2 linked regions of the Mytilus edulis genome follow. The protein of the gene in region 2 purifies or fractionates together with the protein of the main gene of each other region. This does not show direct contact. Links are inferred from orthologs where the notes say so. Each region holds a gene or a part of one and is shown on either strand. Other genes may lie near its edges.

Region 1 (7,616 bases), on a different chromosome or scaffold from region 2:
CATAATACGAGGATATATGAGAGTAAAACTGCAAAGGTTTTCAAAACTTTTGGATATCTATAAAATTTTATAGAGTATTGCCATACCATCCATATAGAAATTTACAGCCTGTAAAATCAACATGGCAAGGACATAAATAAAGAGTCCTTATTCCTTTTGCCAAAACTCAATGCAAGTATAATATCAATACTATTTTTTCCCAGACACCATCAGAATCTGGAATGGACTGCAACAACAACTAGAAGCTGCACAGCCCTTTAATCATTTACAAGGGGTTTGCAAGTTGTTCAGCTTGGATAGATGTTCAACCTTGTTTAAACATTGTTTTAAGTTGTCCGAGATTACTCTGTTGGACCCCAGCTTGTCTGGACAGTGTAATATCAGACTATATTTTAAAAAGCACCTTTTCACTTAGTCCGAGATTACTCTGTCGTCCAATGTGAACGGCCCCAGCTTGTCAGACAAAACAGTTGTTGGACGTCAGATTAATCTCGGACTACTATTCACTTTAGTTATTTGGCACTTCCCCGCATATAATTTGTTGTTCCCACATGGACTGTTCTATAAAGGAAGAAGAAGAAGTTTGGCGTGAACTGCAAAAACTGATTGGGAACACAGGAGTTTGAAATCCTATCAATAAGGGGGTAAAAATATACCAAAGTCGAGGGGTAAATTCGAGAGAAGCTCTACTGTGATAGTCGACTTTGGTATATTTTTACCCCCTTATTGATAGGATTTCAAACTCCTGTGTTGGTAACAGCTGAAGGGAAAACGGTAGTATTTAATTTTCCCAGCATTAGGTTGGCCTTTTGTGTACCCAAGGCAGGTGAAGGAAGTCAAATTAGCAGCGCTGTGATTGGATGTAAGGGTACAATATATTTTTTATTTATCTATGAATAACTGCAGTGTGTATATTTACAACATAAATTTTGAAACCTATTGAAATATTTTCTAGAGAATTATTTGAAAAGACTTGCAAAATTTCATAAATTTGGTGCAAAATGACGGTGGGCATGGATAACATAAACAAGCTCCGTTGGAAGTTGGTCATGATACTATTTGGCTTTAATTTTTAAAACACAATAATAAAGTACTAACACAACATATAACTGTTTTATCCAAGTTTTTATCTTAAAAAGTTGTAAATTTAGAAAATGTTAATATTGTCGCCTATGGCAGAATAAATAGTACCGTTTTCCCTATACTGAAGATAGCAAGGGAAATCAAAGTCACTAAGACTTCAATTCTTTTATACTATTTTGAAGCTTTTGATTAGTACATTTGATTTTTATCCCAAAGAATAGAAATTTTTCACTGAGAACAATACTGTGTTGAGAAAAGTGCTGAGTCATCACGATAGGTCAAATTGATTGGTAATGATATAAAACTTTATTCTAGGATGTCAATACTAACTATATTGTGTAAAATGCACCATATTATAGTTCTTTTGTATTTGATTTCACCTTTCGCAATGATTTTTTCAATTGGAAACACCAGAATTCAAGTCGCGACAAATATTTTTTACTGAAATGTTTGCCTTTTTTGCTGCGTAATTCCCTAAATGTATCACTTGGGTATTTCTGTAAACATTATCTATTAAAATGGGAAATTGTCTGGTTTAGTTTGTACTGTTTATGGAATTAGGCAATATTTGGTCACATTGGAAGCATTTTCAGTGTTAGAATTGTTCATCTAAGAAAAAAAGAGGCCCACTTGAGGCTAAATTTACATAGAATTTATGCTCTCCTGTGTAAAGAATTGTTCACATTCTTGATAATTCATGCAGCAAATATTTCAAAAGTGCTTCATTTTGTAGTTTCTTTCTTTTATTATATCAGACATTAATAATTTTTCATTTCCTACTGTTTGAATGGACTTTTGGTGGAAATTAATACTCCCAAGGGATATAATTCAGCTTTTTCATTGATTAATACAGGCAACAAATGCAACTTTACAGCTGAGTATTTTGCATATTTAATGTTTAAAGTGTCTAATATCTTTGTTTTCATCATCTCAAGACAGAATAGTAGATTTTATAACAAGCTCTGAAATTTTTAACCACAATATGGCATATACTAAAGCATGGAATGGAGATTAGTATGAAAAATCTTGAATTTGTGCATTTGTTGTAAATTTTTGATAAAATGAATACAAATTGAATGGAACTGTCCATTTTATCTGTTTAAATGGAACTATTTATCATTCTGTTTGAATAAGATAAGATATGATTGGATACAGGTTGTTTATTTAGGCTTTTCTGAAAGAAGTAGAAAATGAGGCAAACCAGCATGTGGGGGTGGGGACATAAAATGATCTATGTTTCTTTAAGTACTGGGAACATACAAGTATTTATTATAGCCAAGGTTTTCACAATAGCCCAGTATTGCAATCATAATGTCATAAGAATTCTTTATATCTTTATGTCACAGTATAGGGAAAACGGTAGTATTTAATTTTCCCAGCATTAGGTTGGCCTTTTGTGTACCCAAGGCAGGTGAAGGAAGTCAAATTAGCAGCGCTGTGATTGGATGTAAGGGTACAATATATTTTTTATTTATCTATGAATAACTGCAGTGTGTATATTTACAACATAAATTTTGAAACCTATTGAAATATTTTCTAGAGAATTATTTGAAAAGACTTGCAAAATTTCATAAATTTGGTGCAAAATGACGGTGGGCATGGATAACATAAACAAGCTCCGTTGGAAGTTGGTCATGATACTATTTGGCTTTAATTTTTAAAACACAATAATAAAGTACTAACACAACATATAACTGTTTTATCCAAGTTTTTATCTTAAAAAGTTGTAAATTTAGAAAATGTTAATATTGTCGCCTATGGCAGAATAAATAGTACCGTTTTCCCTGAAGACAAGCTCTTATAAGTCTAAGACTTATGTTTATGGGCGCTGTGAGAGTTTTGTGTAGAACAGATATAAAGATTTATAATGCAGTAATGATTCATATAATATTTTCCTTAAATGGATAATGTTAACATGTATTCATTATGACAAATGTATTGTTTTTGACTTTCAATTTACCCGCATTTGTTGTCATTTTTGCAGAAAATAGTAATATTAGAGTCAAAATCGGTGACGGATTTGTAAACTAACCTAGACTAAAACCAATAAAATAAAATAACTGACAACGGTCGATAAATCACATACAATCCTATCTAAAATTAAATCTATGAAATCCCTTATTATTAAATGAAATTTGTCATTACACCTTACACACAGGATTAAAATACAGCCATGTAATCTAACTTACAAGAAATTCTTTATTGGATAATGATAAAATCTGCAAATGTTGAGACAGTTCAATTGAATAAAGATAAATAAGTGATTTGTTGTATTAATTAAGTTTGTTTTTACAAATACTGAAAATTTGTTTTTTGTTAGATTCTACTTTTCAACTTTGTCATATTGTGACAGGATTGCTTCCCTTAGAACATATTTGTAGAGTACATGCTCTCCGGTTACAATATAAGTGGAGATCACTCTTGTAGTAAAATTTTGATATACAATGTAGGAATGAAAATATTTTTTTTCTTTATTTTAGCACTATTAAGAACACAAGTTTGGTGACACCATTTATTCTTTTTATTTTCTAAAACCATTTTAAAAAGCATATCTTTTCATATTTCATTTCTTTATTCTTTCTAATAGATTTATTTCATGAAAAATCCTTCTTGTAGTTTCAAAAATAGCACAGTGACTCAAAATTTTATTATATTTTGCAAAATCATATGATAAATTCAAGGTTTGGCAAAGTATAAGAAAATTTTATCTTGTGAAATCTTTAATAATGATACAACTTTAAAAATATTATGTGTGAACTACCAATGTACTGGTATATATGTCTCTGTATATGTTGTTTATTTAATTTTTGTATTTGTATTTATATTTGGTATCATTTCTTTATTAGAATTTACATCAGACAAGAGTAATGGTAATTTAAAATTATATCTACCAACGTAAGTAACTTGACACATTACTTAATTCAGGTTAGATATTGGTTCAAATTGACCCAGTTGTTCAAAAAGAGGAGATATTTGAACAATTCATCATAATTTAGGCCTTTTGTGAAAACTTCATATTTGCAGCAATACTTGAGTGTTAATTTTTCAGAGATGCTGGGTGGCATCAATGGATGCAAATTTGAAAGCCAAACATTTGTTATGAAATTGGCAATGTTCTTGCCCAAATCTTATTTCATTTCACCAATAATCACAAAAGGATCATTATTTACTAGGCACTCCAGCTCCCTCCATCAATAAAAGTGGCCACCACAAAATGTAGTGCAAAATATTTTAAGGGTATTATGTTCCTTTAAAGCTAAAATCTGGTGACTGGTATATCTTTGGTATTCTGTAAAACTTATAATGGTCATTTAAATTATCTGATCAACATCCATCCATGTATATCTAAATTGCTGTTCACTGTTCTTGTTCGTGTGATTGCAATCAGAGGTATGAAAACTTTGTTGTCTTTAGGTGTCTTCTTAAAGATTTGATTCCTTTTACATCCAAATGAGCTAGTCAGTAAGTTATCTCCTTTCCATAAAATATTGTCTTACTATTAAACTCCTGTTAACCCATCATTTAAAACAAAGAACAGTTTAATTAAACTAACTCTCAATGAAACAAGAATGTGTCCAAAGTACATGGATGCCCCATCCAAACTCATTTTCTATGTTCAGTGGACCGTGAAAATGAGGTAAAAACTCTTAATTTGGCATTAAAATTAGAAAGATCATATCATAGGGAACCTGTGTACCAAGTTTCAAGTTGATTGGACTTCATCTTCATCAAAATCTACCTTGACCAAAAACTATAATTTGAAGCGGGACAGACGAAGGAACGAATTAACGAACAAACGAACAGACGCATAGACCAGAAAACATAATGCCCATAAATGGGGCATAAAAAAGGGCTGTATTTCAGACATGATCTGAACTACATGACTTAATATACATGTATAACTAAAATAAGACTGAAATTTCAGTTTGTTTGATAGAAATTTAAGACAAGTGGAAATACCCTGGACCATTACTGCTGAAATCAAGTCATTTGGCAGGCATATGCATCCTCTCTATAATCCCATATGGTGCAATAATAAAATTACATGTATACTTCATTATCAAGTAGCACTTACAACGATTTAAGAATTAAACACAGATTTACAGTTTGTATTTCTTTTTAAATATGCACCCATGCCAAGAACCTACATTTGTATGTGCCTGTCCCAAGTCAGGAACCTTGTCAGTAGAAGTATATCATATACTAATACTTTTTTTCTATTTGGAGAATTGGGTATTGATGTCAGGTCTTAGAGTGTTAGTCATATTTATTCACATGTTGGATGGTTTATGGCTTGAAGTATTGTAGACACCTTTTAATGTTGAAGACAATTTGTTACTCTCTAAATGTCTTTTTTTTAATTGGATTGTTGTCTGATATATACATTTTGTACTTGAACATCTCCCCTTATTCATATCTGCAGATGTATAAGTGAGTCACACATAATGACACATTACAGCCTACCAATATGAAGCTTGGTGAACAAATTACCAAGAAGCACAGGTTTGTAGTTGTTTGAAATTATGTGATGAAAACTTCATATACATGCATCAACCATTGTCAATGGAAAAACATACATGTGTAGGCCAAACAGGAAGTAAAAAGTGAGATATCTGTAAATGTGTCACACAGTAAAATTCTCCAATATGATTTTTTTTTGCATTTTTGCACCCGTTCCAAGTCAGGAGCCTTAGTCTTGTCTGGTTTGTTTTTTTAGTTGATTTATATGTTTCAGAGTTTAATGTGACATCCATTTCACTAGTACTAGTACATATTGTTGTTTAAAGGGCCAGCTGAAGCCTGCCTCTGGGTGCAGGAATTTCTTGCTGTATTGTAGATCCAATGGTGGCCTTTGGCTGTTTCTGCTCTTTGGTAGGGTTGTTGTCTCTTTGACACATTCCTTATTTCCATTCTCAATTGAAGGCTATATATCCCCTTTCCAGTATACTGAGAAGTAATTTAATTTCACAGTTTTCCTTATTTCACATCAGAGAAGATCAGAGTTTGACATATTCATGGCGTTTTATATTTATGATAAAATATGGTTCATCATAGTGTATGACTTTTTTGAGTAATAAAACTATATAATTAATCAGTACTCCAGCATCTTAGAAAATGAAAAAGAGACATGATATCATTCTTTATAAGTGGTTTATTTACAAATGTGAATGTGTATAAATATTTCGTTCATCATTTTATAAAATAAATGATTTAAAAGTATCATATAAATTCCATAACAATTCTGTATAATCTGATAAATATACAAAATGCAAATGCTTATCACTTGTATAAATCTCAATAAAATACATATAAAAATGTATATATTAATAGCACTTCAAAAACAAGAAATTTTGTTCAAGTGAGCAAGTCTGAAAATACTACCATCAACTTAAATTTTCTAATTCATCAATGCCACATCTATGCATATCTGATTATAACAGTTTACCAAATTCCCAAATTAAATATTATGCAATGTTTGTTTGTTTATTTCATGATTGGCATGGCGTATGGACTAGCTTTGGACGATAAATCTGCATCATCTGATCTCCACATCTGTGTGACTGTTTTTAACTGTGTGTAAAAGTTTACTCCCTGTAAAAGATATGTTATGTGTTTTACTATAACTTTATTATACAAACAAAAGGCATTGTAAGTGAACAATGCTATAAGCAGTTACATGAAAATTATTTGGATAAAAATTAGCCAGTTTTTTTTTTCAATATAAAAATTTTGTTCTGATTTTACATTTCAATTATATGCATACAACATTTTCCTATTTTATGATTTTCTGCATTTCAAAGTATTCTTGTTCTAAGAAGAAATTTGTAAACTCTCTTGTTCTGTTTGATCTGATTAAAAAAAAATATTTAAATTTCTGTTTTGTTCACTCATCGTCGAAATATACACACAACATTCTAGATTTGGGCAAAATTGCTTTTTTCAGAGAAAGGAAATAACTATTGAAGCTTGCTAAAGATTTCTTTTTTTTTTCAAATTCAAAAACAAATGTAAATTTCAAATTTTAAAACATTTTGTGGTTTGATTCAAAAGTGAAGGTAAATGATCCTCCTACCCATAAATATTATGCAAAGATCATTACACAATACTGTATTTGTTACTATCAATATTCATGATGGTAACTGATTCCAAACCAATAAGAGTCATTAATAGTTATTGCTATAAATGAGATATGTATAATACTTACAGCTTTTCCATAGAAGTTTTGGTCACCCTTGAATGATCCTCTAGAACCAGTGAAGGAGAACATAGGTAAAGGCACTGGGATAGGTACATTCACTCCAACCTGTTTATAAAAAGATATTAAAATAAAGGACAGAGCATAAAATTACCAAGTTGAATTATATATAGGAAACCTTATGTCTTTCTTAGTCTTCTTTACTGTTGAGAAATAGATTATCAATTTTGGACAGCATACCAGTTTATTGTAATATGCTAGATAATTAGTATTGTTACAGTAAAATATACACAAAATATATAACAAAGCAATAGTGATGAATCATTTATGATAAATT
Region 2 (7,989 bases):
TTAATTTTGAGTTACACTCAACAAAGCACCAAAAGTACACTAAATTGACATTATTCATAGCACTCACACAGTAATACATTACACATAATTCATAAATTGAACATATAAGAGAATACAAAGTCTTAACCAATGTGCAGGAGATGAGAAGCAACATCTCCATACTCGACTGGAGTAAGCTCATCATTCTGTAACCTTGTTTTCAGTGTTTGGAGTCTGTCATCTATTTCCCTTTACTTCCTCTTTCTTGGAATACATTTCCCACCAGCTCTGTACTATATCAATGTGAGAGCACTGAAGGCTTCTTCTTGTCTCAACAACCTGATCATACTGATGATGTTTAGGTGAGGTGCATTTACTAATTATTTTTTTAGTTATTTTTTTAGTTTACTATGCAAATTTAACCCTCTAAATGGTTTGTTGTTCTATGACCTTCTGTTGCATAGTGATTCCACAGACTTTGGTTGTTCTCTACCCAGTAGCTGGTTACATAGTCAGAAAAGTTAAGTGTTGGTGTAGTAGTATCTGAATCATCGATGTATTCCAGTGCATTAAACCAAATATCTACAATTGTATTGGGTGGTTAAACTGCAGCTCTACGAACATTAAGTTGGTGAATGTCTCTCTTTTCACTGTATTCACTCTGCACACCATGCTTCTGTGCATTTCGCCAGATACACTGAGTGTAGTGAAAAAGGCACCCTTTTATGCTGATTCCTGGGAAGATTGAAGTGGCTGCATTTCTGATGGCTATTTTGTAGTCGAGGAATATCTTGGCTGGTTGAAGTAGGATGTTAAATTGGTTACATAGATCTCGAATAAAAGCTTATCAGAGTTCAAAGTTAATTGGCTTGACTTAATCTATTAGGCCAATATAAAATGTACACTTATCTAAAATGATTTATTACTTTAAGCATTACTTTTGATATTATGTTCATTTTTAAAAATCATAATTTGTTAAAATAATGAAATTAATAAATTTTTTGAGGCTGAAGTTGAAAGTTTGGGTATCTATTAATTTTCTTTTTAAATACGTTTTTTACAGACTTTTAAATGTTTTTACTTCTTTTTCTTTTCTTTTCCAATGCTTTTACTTCCTTTTCTTCTAAATAGTTTTTTTTCTACAAATTCCATAAGATTAAAATAATTAATTTTATAACTTAATGCATGTTTTCAAACAAAAAAAATCCCATTATTTTACATTTAAATTTTTTTTTAAATTTAATTTCAACAGGTAAATTTACCTTTCACCCGATTAGACACTAATGACTAAACCAACATATCTTGCAATAACAACATGTATTGTTCTACCACTAATCCGCCATGTAGGAATAGCCAGAATAGTAAAATACAAAATGTAGGAATAGCCAGAAGACACCAAAATTTTAATAGGTGAAAATACAATACACAAGGATATAAAGAGCACAAAATTATTGATTTCCCAAAGTAGACATCATAAGGGGCATCATAAATTGACAAAACTTTGAAAATAGGTATATCCCACAGATTTCCAAGTAATTTGGAAATAAATAATGGGCATTGAGATAAAATAAAAAAATGTTTATGTTTGTTCACATCTACAGTCATTGGACAAAAGTGAGTTCCCAGTCAAAAAAAGACCTATCATTTCAACTAAAATCGATATTTTTCAAAAAACTATTACCAAGTAACTATACATGCTATATGAGCTATTTTCTAAATATAGATACCAAAAGATGTAGAAATATCTGAAGTTTTATTGTTTATTTGGTTATAATATTATTCATGCTCATTTTAATTTTCTGACTAGATGAACACAAAGAAAGATATTTCTTGAAAAGTTTGCTATAATTCTAACCAAATTAAAATCGTAAAAATTTGCATTTGTGTATAATACATCAGATGAAGAAAACAAAACTCAAGAAAATTATGACTAAATAAACAATAAAATTTCAGACATTTTTACATCTTATGTTATCTATTTTATAAAAATTGCTCATACAGTTACTTGGTAATATTTTTTTGAAAAAATATCGATTTTGGTTGAAATGATAGGACTAGTAAGACCCAAACTGGAATATAGTTGTAGTGTCTGGGACCCCCATATGAAAGAACAACAGATACAATTAGAAAAGGTACAGTCGTTATGTACACAACAACTACGATTACACGAGCAGTGTCACAAACATGCTAAATCAGTTGAAATGGCCACCACTAGCTGAGAGACGCTTAAAAACCAGACTTATTTTATTTTATAAAGTAATACATTGTCTAGTAGCCATTCCATCGCATATTTGTGAACAAACAGACAGCAGAACAAGACAAAATCATAAGACATATAGACACATCCAAACTTCCAAGGACACATACAAATGGTCATACTTCCTGCGAACAATTATTCAATGGAATTTACTACCACAAACTGTAATTGAAACCACCACTGTTGGCAGCTTTAGAGATCGACTAACACCAGCGGTTCTCTCTAGCTTTAAATAAACAAATTCAAACAAAACATGTACATATATTTTTAATCACAATCTGTAAATACAAACACTCCAATTGTTATAAAATATTTTTATAAATTTTGTATAAATTTTTGTCAATCATGCATGCGCAACAACATGTATTCTTCAGTATTGAAGCCTTGTTGACCTTAAAGAAGAAGAGACTATTTTTGAGTGAGGACTCGCTTTTGTCTCATAGCTCAGACTGTACATGCATTCATGACAAACTGACCATTTTAAAAAATAGTCAGTTTAGGACAAACACCCATTTCTGTGAGTTTTCATTTATAAAAAAACAATTTATTTAATTACAGAAAATGTGGTAATGTTGTAATTAAAAGTCTTTTTGTTGATAACAGTTTGAAGGCTAACATATTTTTTCTAAGAAAACATGAAACAGTCTGAAACTCTTGGAATAAAAGATGAGTCTGCATATTTCCTTTAAATAAAAATTTTAAAGCAATATTTTCTCCATCTGTTTTCCACGAAATTTGCATCATAAATGTGATAATTTACCATATTTGAATGCCTTGGTAGTGAGACAATCTATACACAAAGTTCATTATAAATCTCTTAAAATATTAAACGCTGGAAATCTTTGACAGAATCCACGTGAATGGCACGTGCGATTGTTTACATTGTGACGTAATCAATCAACGTCGCACCTGTCAAATGTTTTGTTCTATTATTGTTTCTGTTGACGCATTATTCTATCATTGTTTCCCCGATTTGCGTACAATGCCAATTGCATTCTTTTGTTCTATCATTATGTATTAAATGTATGTGTTGCAAAAAAGGAAGAAAGAGAAAACAACATAAGCAAAATGACAACATGAAATATTTCTGTTTGAATTTGTTGAAATTACCTGTCTTCCAGCCATTCAAGCATGCCGATTGAACATCCAAAAATTCATCGGAACTGCCATTCTTGGTTGTCACAAAAACAGTGTTAATAAATGCTTTCTAGAACACAAGAACTAAACAAAAACGGAAAAAAAACAGCTGAAGAAATGACATCAATGGCGGTTAAATTGCGCGGTCGGAATATCCAGATATGATATCTGAAATTTGATTGGACAATGAATATTTCTAAAAATAAAATAGGAACCTTCATTTTTAGATATGAGGACAACCTTATCTCTGTCTTCGATTTCTCATGAGACTACTATCGGATCAGGAAAACGGACAGAAAGTCACAAACTTGATAGAACAAAAAGTCACAAATATTTTTTTGACAATTTTTTAGATATATTTTGAATATTTTCATTTAATTACATACACCCCCCCCCCCCATATATTTTATTTTTAAGTTAAGGAAATTTCTCATAAACCTCGATAAATGAAAACGTATTAAATTTTAATCAAGCAAAGGATGTGAATATTGAGAAAATGAAGCCATTTAGGTACCAAGCCACTTTGACATTTTGTTTTCATAACAACTATTTTATCATTATATATTTATTGAATAAATTTTAATTACATAGTTGCTTTATATATATAAAACTTTTAAGAAAAATACCCAAAAAATATTTTTGAAATAAGTGTTTTTGAACAAAGAATAATAATCTCAAACAAAATTGTGTTTTTGTTTTTGTTTTGTGACTTTTTGTCCATGACTTTTTGTCCTGTGACTTTCTGTCCTACATTATCGCAATTTTGTCCGAGTTGCCATGTATTCACACAATAGATTAGTAATATTGTAATCATATATTGTACAGTCTGCATTATATGTCTCTGTTGTCAATAATGAAAACATATATTTCGTATCATATTCAGGACGAGAACAAGTTCACAATAAATACAATAGGTAGGTTGATGCAATAGAGGCCATCTGTGATGATGGTTGGAGAAATTTGGAATGCCACCGGAAAAGGAGGGTATATTGGATAGGGATAGAAATTTTGCCTTGCAACAGGCCACCTACGGACCCCTCAAAGAGTTGTTGCAAGGGTTCTTAACGTGCAAAGAGCGTGGCACTCTCTTTACACGAGGCATCGGATTTAACGTCCCCCTTCTGACCGGACGTGACTGCGAACTTGATACATCCCGCACAGCCAAACGGACGCCCCTCTTCGGCAAGCGTTTTACTGCCGGTCGGGAGAAGACCAAGCGACCATATTTCTATACCCCAGTCACCCTTGGGGATGATTTGTATAGTAAGAATGAAGTATTACTAATAAATGATTTATTAATTGAATAAATAGGTAATCAATTCCAAAACGGCTTGCCATAGAATTTAAAAATTAAAGATTGAATTCATAATATTAATTCTAACAGAGACATATAAATATGTCTCTGATTCTAATCAATAAAAAAATACAAACTTATTTATAATATAAAAAAGGACTATTCATTGAAAAAATATTTTTTAGTATATTGAAAAATAATTTTTCTATTAACAAATGATATTTCTTCTATAAACAAAATTGAAACGATTTATTTTTTTAATAAATAGAGAATAAATTCCACAACGGCTTGTCATATTGTATAAAGAGTCTTTTATTGTGAAAATAATACCATAGAGGCCCCTCATGGGGGGGTCCTAGTAATCACATAATCACCATTTTTTTGCCAATATAATCACATAATCATTAAATATTTGCTTATCTTTAGTAATCAAATAATCATAAACTAAAAATACAGTCCTAGGTAATCAAATAATCATGAAATATTTGGCTTAATAATCAAATAATCATTAAACAAACGGCCAAGTAATCACATAATCAAAAACCCCATGAGGGCCCTCACCATACACCTTACAAAGATGACTGTTTTATTTTAGAACAACCCTTTTTAGCAAAATCTTTATATTTTATGTTTAACCGCAGAAAATATTGTGTATAACGGAATGTTTTTTTTCTTTAAATGTGATGTAAAAGTTTTATTTATTCATTTGTAAATGAATGTTAGAATAAGTTTTAAAGCAAAAGTGTCTCATAAGTCAGTCATGACTGGATACCGATATTTTAACTTCGATTTAAATTCTTATTTGTATTTTTATACTTATATTATTATGTATGATATTGTTCAGTATTGGTATGTGACACTATAATAAAATATTCTGTCTGTCTGTCTGTCTTTATTTTAGAATTGGAAAATAAGTTAAGAGTTGACATATTAAATGTAAATTTGTTCCTCCCAATATAGATTAAATAATATGTTGAAAAATGGTACTATATTTTCTACTTCACGAAAAAAGTTTTAAAGCAAAATGTAAATCATAAAAATTAACTATTCGTTGAACTTTCAGAATGTAATTAACCTTCCAATGCATTCTAAATCCTTTTTTTCATTTTTGTAGATCATACATGTCTCTAGTTAACTGTTTAAACTATATTTATAAGATCTTATAAGCATTCGATGCATATAAACAGTATCATCAATATGCATGGCCTAGCAACTGGTTACCATATGTTTATAATTTTTTAGATACAGTAAATCTACCTTTCGGAAGGCTTTGTATCTATTCAATCTAGCATGAAGAATGAGTGAATATGAAGTTGGAATACACATCACCTGAGTATCTGGTGTTTTATGTTGTAAGATTTTCTTTCACTATCATACTCATAGGGAAATCTTAATGTTAAATTTTGTTTACAGCACAAATCAGACTTGCCATGTCTCTCGAGTGAACCACTGGTGACTGGTTACCACAGCCAAGAGCCATACTACTTCAATTCTTGTCTTTGTAAACACAAATTTTATGTGGATCCAGGATTTTGAAAGGGTTACATATTAGTCAACGCTTGTATTAAAACATGTAAAAGGTCTATGCATTAACAATATAAGTTGTTCCATGAGTGGTACTGGGCACCCCCCCTTTTTTTTTAAACCCTAAATGATAGATCTGCCTCTGTCTCTGATTTACTTTACAACTTAAGTTTTAACACTTTAGTTCCATAATTTAGGTCTTCACCATTATATCTCTGTCCCACTGTAGTGTATTGTTATGCAGATGAATATAACTGGATATTAAGTTTGAAAATTGAACCCAACAGTGTTAAACATATAGCTAGAGACTGGTTCCTGTGCAGTAAAGTTTACCATGAAGTTCTCGTCACATGAAATTAAAACTCTGTACACTTGTACACTTATTTATTATGATATTTTAAATTTACATGCATACATAATAATAAGGGTGTGACCAAAGTATCTAGAATACATCGTAGGAAGGCGTCACAGAAAACAATAAAAAAAAAGCCATTCAAGACATCATCACTATTTGGACTAGGGCATGGTGTCCCTAAATAATACAGTATAAATAAGAAGATGTGGTATGAGTTACATTGAGACAACTCTGTAAGTCACAATGTATAAAAAGATAACAATTAAAGATCAAAGAAAGGCTCTCAACATGTAGCCTTTGCTCAAACCCAACAGTAAGCTATAAACATGATAAAGGGTCCCAAAATGACTAATGCAAAACAATTCCAACTGGAGAGTCAACAGACTATATATGAAAAAGAAGAAAATCTATTTAGAAAACAAGAATCAAGAAACATCTGTGACAACCACCCCAAACAACCCCAAACCAACCACTGACAAGCCACATATTCTTGTTGATTGATATATTTTGCACATGGTAACATTTCCTATTCAAAATTAACCTGAGTTTGTTCAAGGAACAGCTTAAAATAATGAGAGGACAAAAAATAGTTTTGAAGACTGAAACTCAATTTATTTTTGTAATTTTAGACCCTGTTTACTGTGATAGGTTATATAGATGGATGTTCTAGAGAGAGATCCAGGGTTGTTAGACGTGTAATAACTGAAGTAAGTATATAGGTAGACATTTGAAAAAAAATGTTCTGGCATCTAAATATATACATATGAATGATTATAATTATAAATTTCATTTTATTTTATTTTATTTTAATTAAATTTCTGAACAGCATCTCATGTAAGGACCAACATTATCCTGATTATTATTAATTTTTACTGAATTATTGCTTTTTAAAAATACCAATGATTTGCGTCTAGAGATATTGCTGTGAATGACATCTGCTCAAGACAGGAGTGGACGTGTGATATACATGTACACTTCTTATTTAAATGACAATCAGATAAAATAAGATTGAGAAATAAATTTGAAAAAATTCTAAAGTAAAAACGAAAGGAATTATTCATTTCAGTTTTATTGACTATTATAGTTGTATTTTCCTTTCTAAAATTATTGATTGACAAAGACAACTCTTAAACATGTTGAATATGAAGTAATGCATTGAGTTTATGATATTTGAATTGCAATTTCAGTAGAGTTTTATCAATATGTTGATTGTATTTTAGAAAATATATCCATTGTACAAATCTGTCCAAGCAGAGATTCCAGATACATGTATCCTAAACAAAGAGAGAGATATTTATGCCATCCAAGAGGACCAAAAATATAATGAGCCACCCAATAAGTGGTATTGTAATATCTGTGGTAAAGGGTTCATCGCTGAGTATTACTTAGATCTACACTTTACCAACAGACATAAAGAATACATTAGACAGGTAAAGATTACAA

What was found.
Region 1: the proteins of myb-related protein A-like (region 2) and protein lin-52 homolog purify together in Drosophila melanogaster (affinity purification with western blotting; 3 studies listed by BioGRID, with this or other methods). This does not show direct contact. The link is inferred for Mytilus edulis from reciprocal best matches to the Drosophila melanogaster genes Myb and lin-52.

Annotation. Positions count from the first base shown.
Region 1 is NC_092346.1:42,566,665-42,574,280, reverse strand, and holds the start of protein lin-52 homolog, read right to left. Parts: upstream 3,090-7,616; 5' UTR 3,060-3,089; coding exon 3,044-3,059; intron 1-3,043. Other genes in the region: probable methylmalonate-semialdehyde/malonate-semialdehyde dehydrogenase [acylating], mitochondrial, read right to left, coding at 6,568-6,675, 7,289-7,387.
Region 2 is NC_092350.1:20,930,401-20,938,389, reverse strand, and holds the start of myb-related protein A-like, read right to left. Parts: upstream 3,122-7,989; 5' UTR 3,044-3,121; coding exon 2,997-3,043; intron 1-2,996. Other genes in the region: uncharacterized protein, read left to right, coding at 5,975-6,019, 7,176-7,253, 7,767-7,976. UniProt on the Drosophila melanogaster protein: DNA-binding protein that specifically recognizes the sequence 5'-YAAC[GT]G-3'. Component of the DREAM complex, a multiprotein complex that can both act as a transcription activator or repressor depending on the context.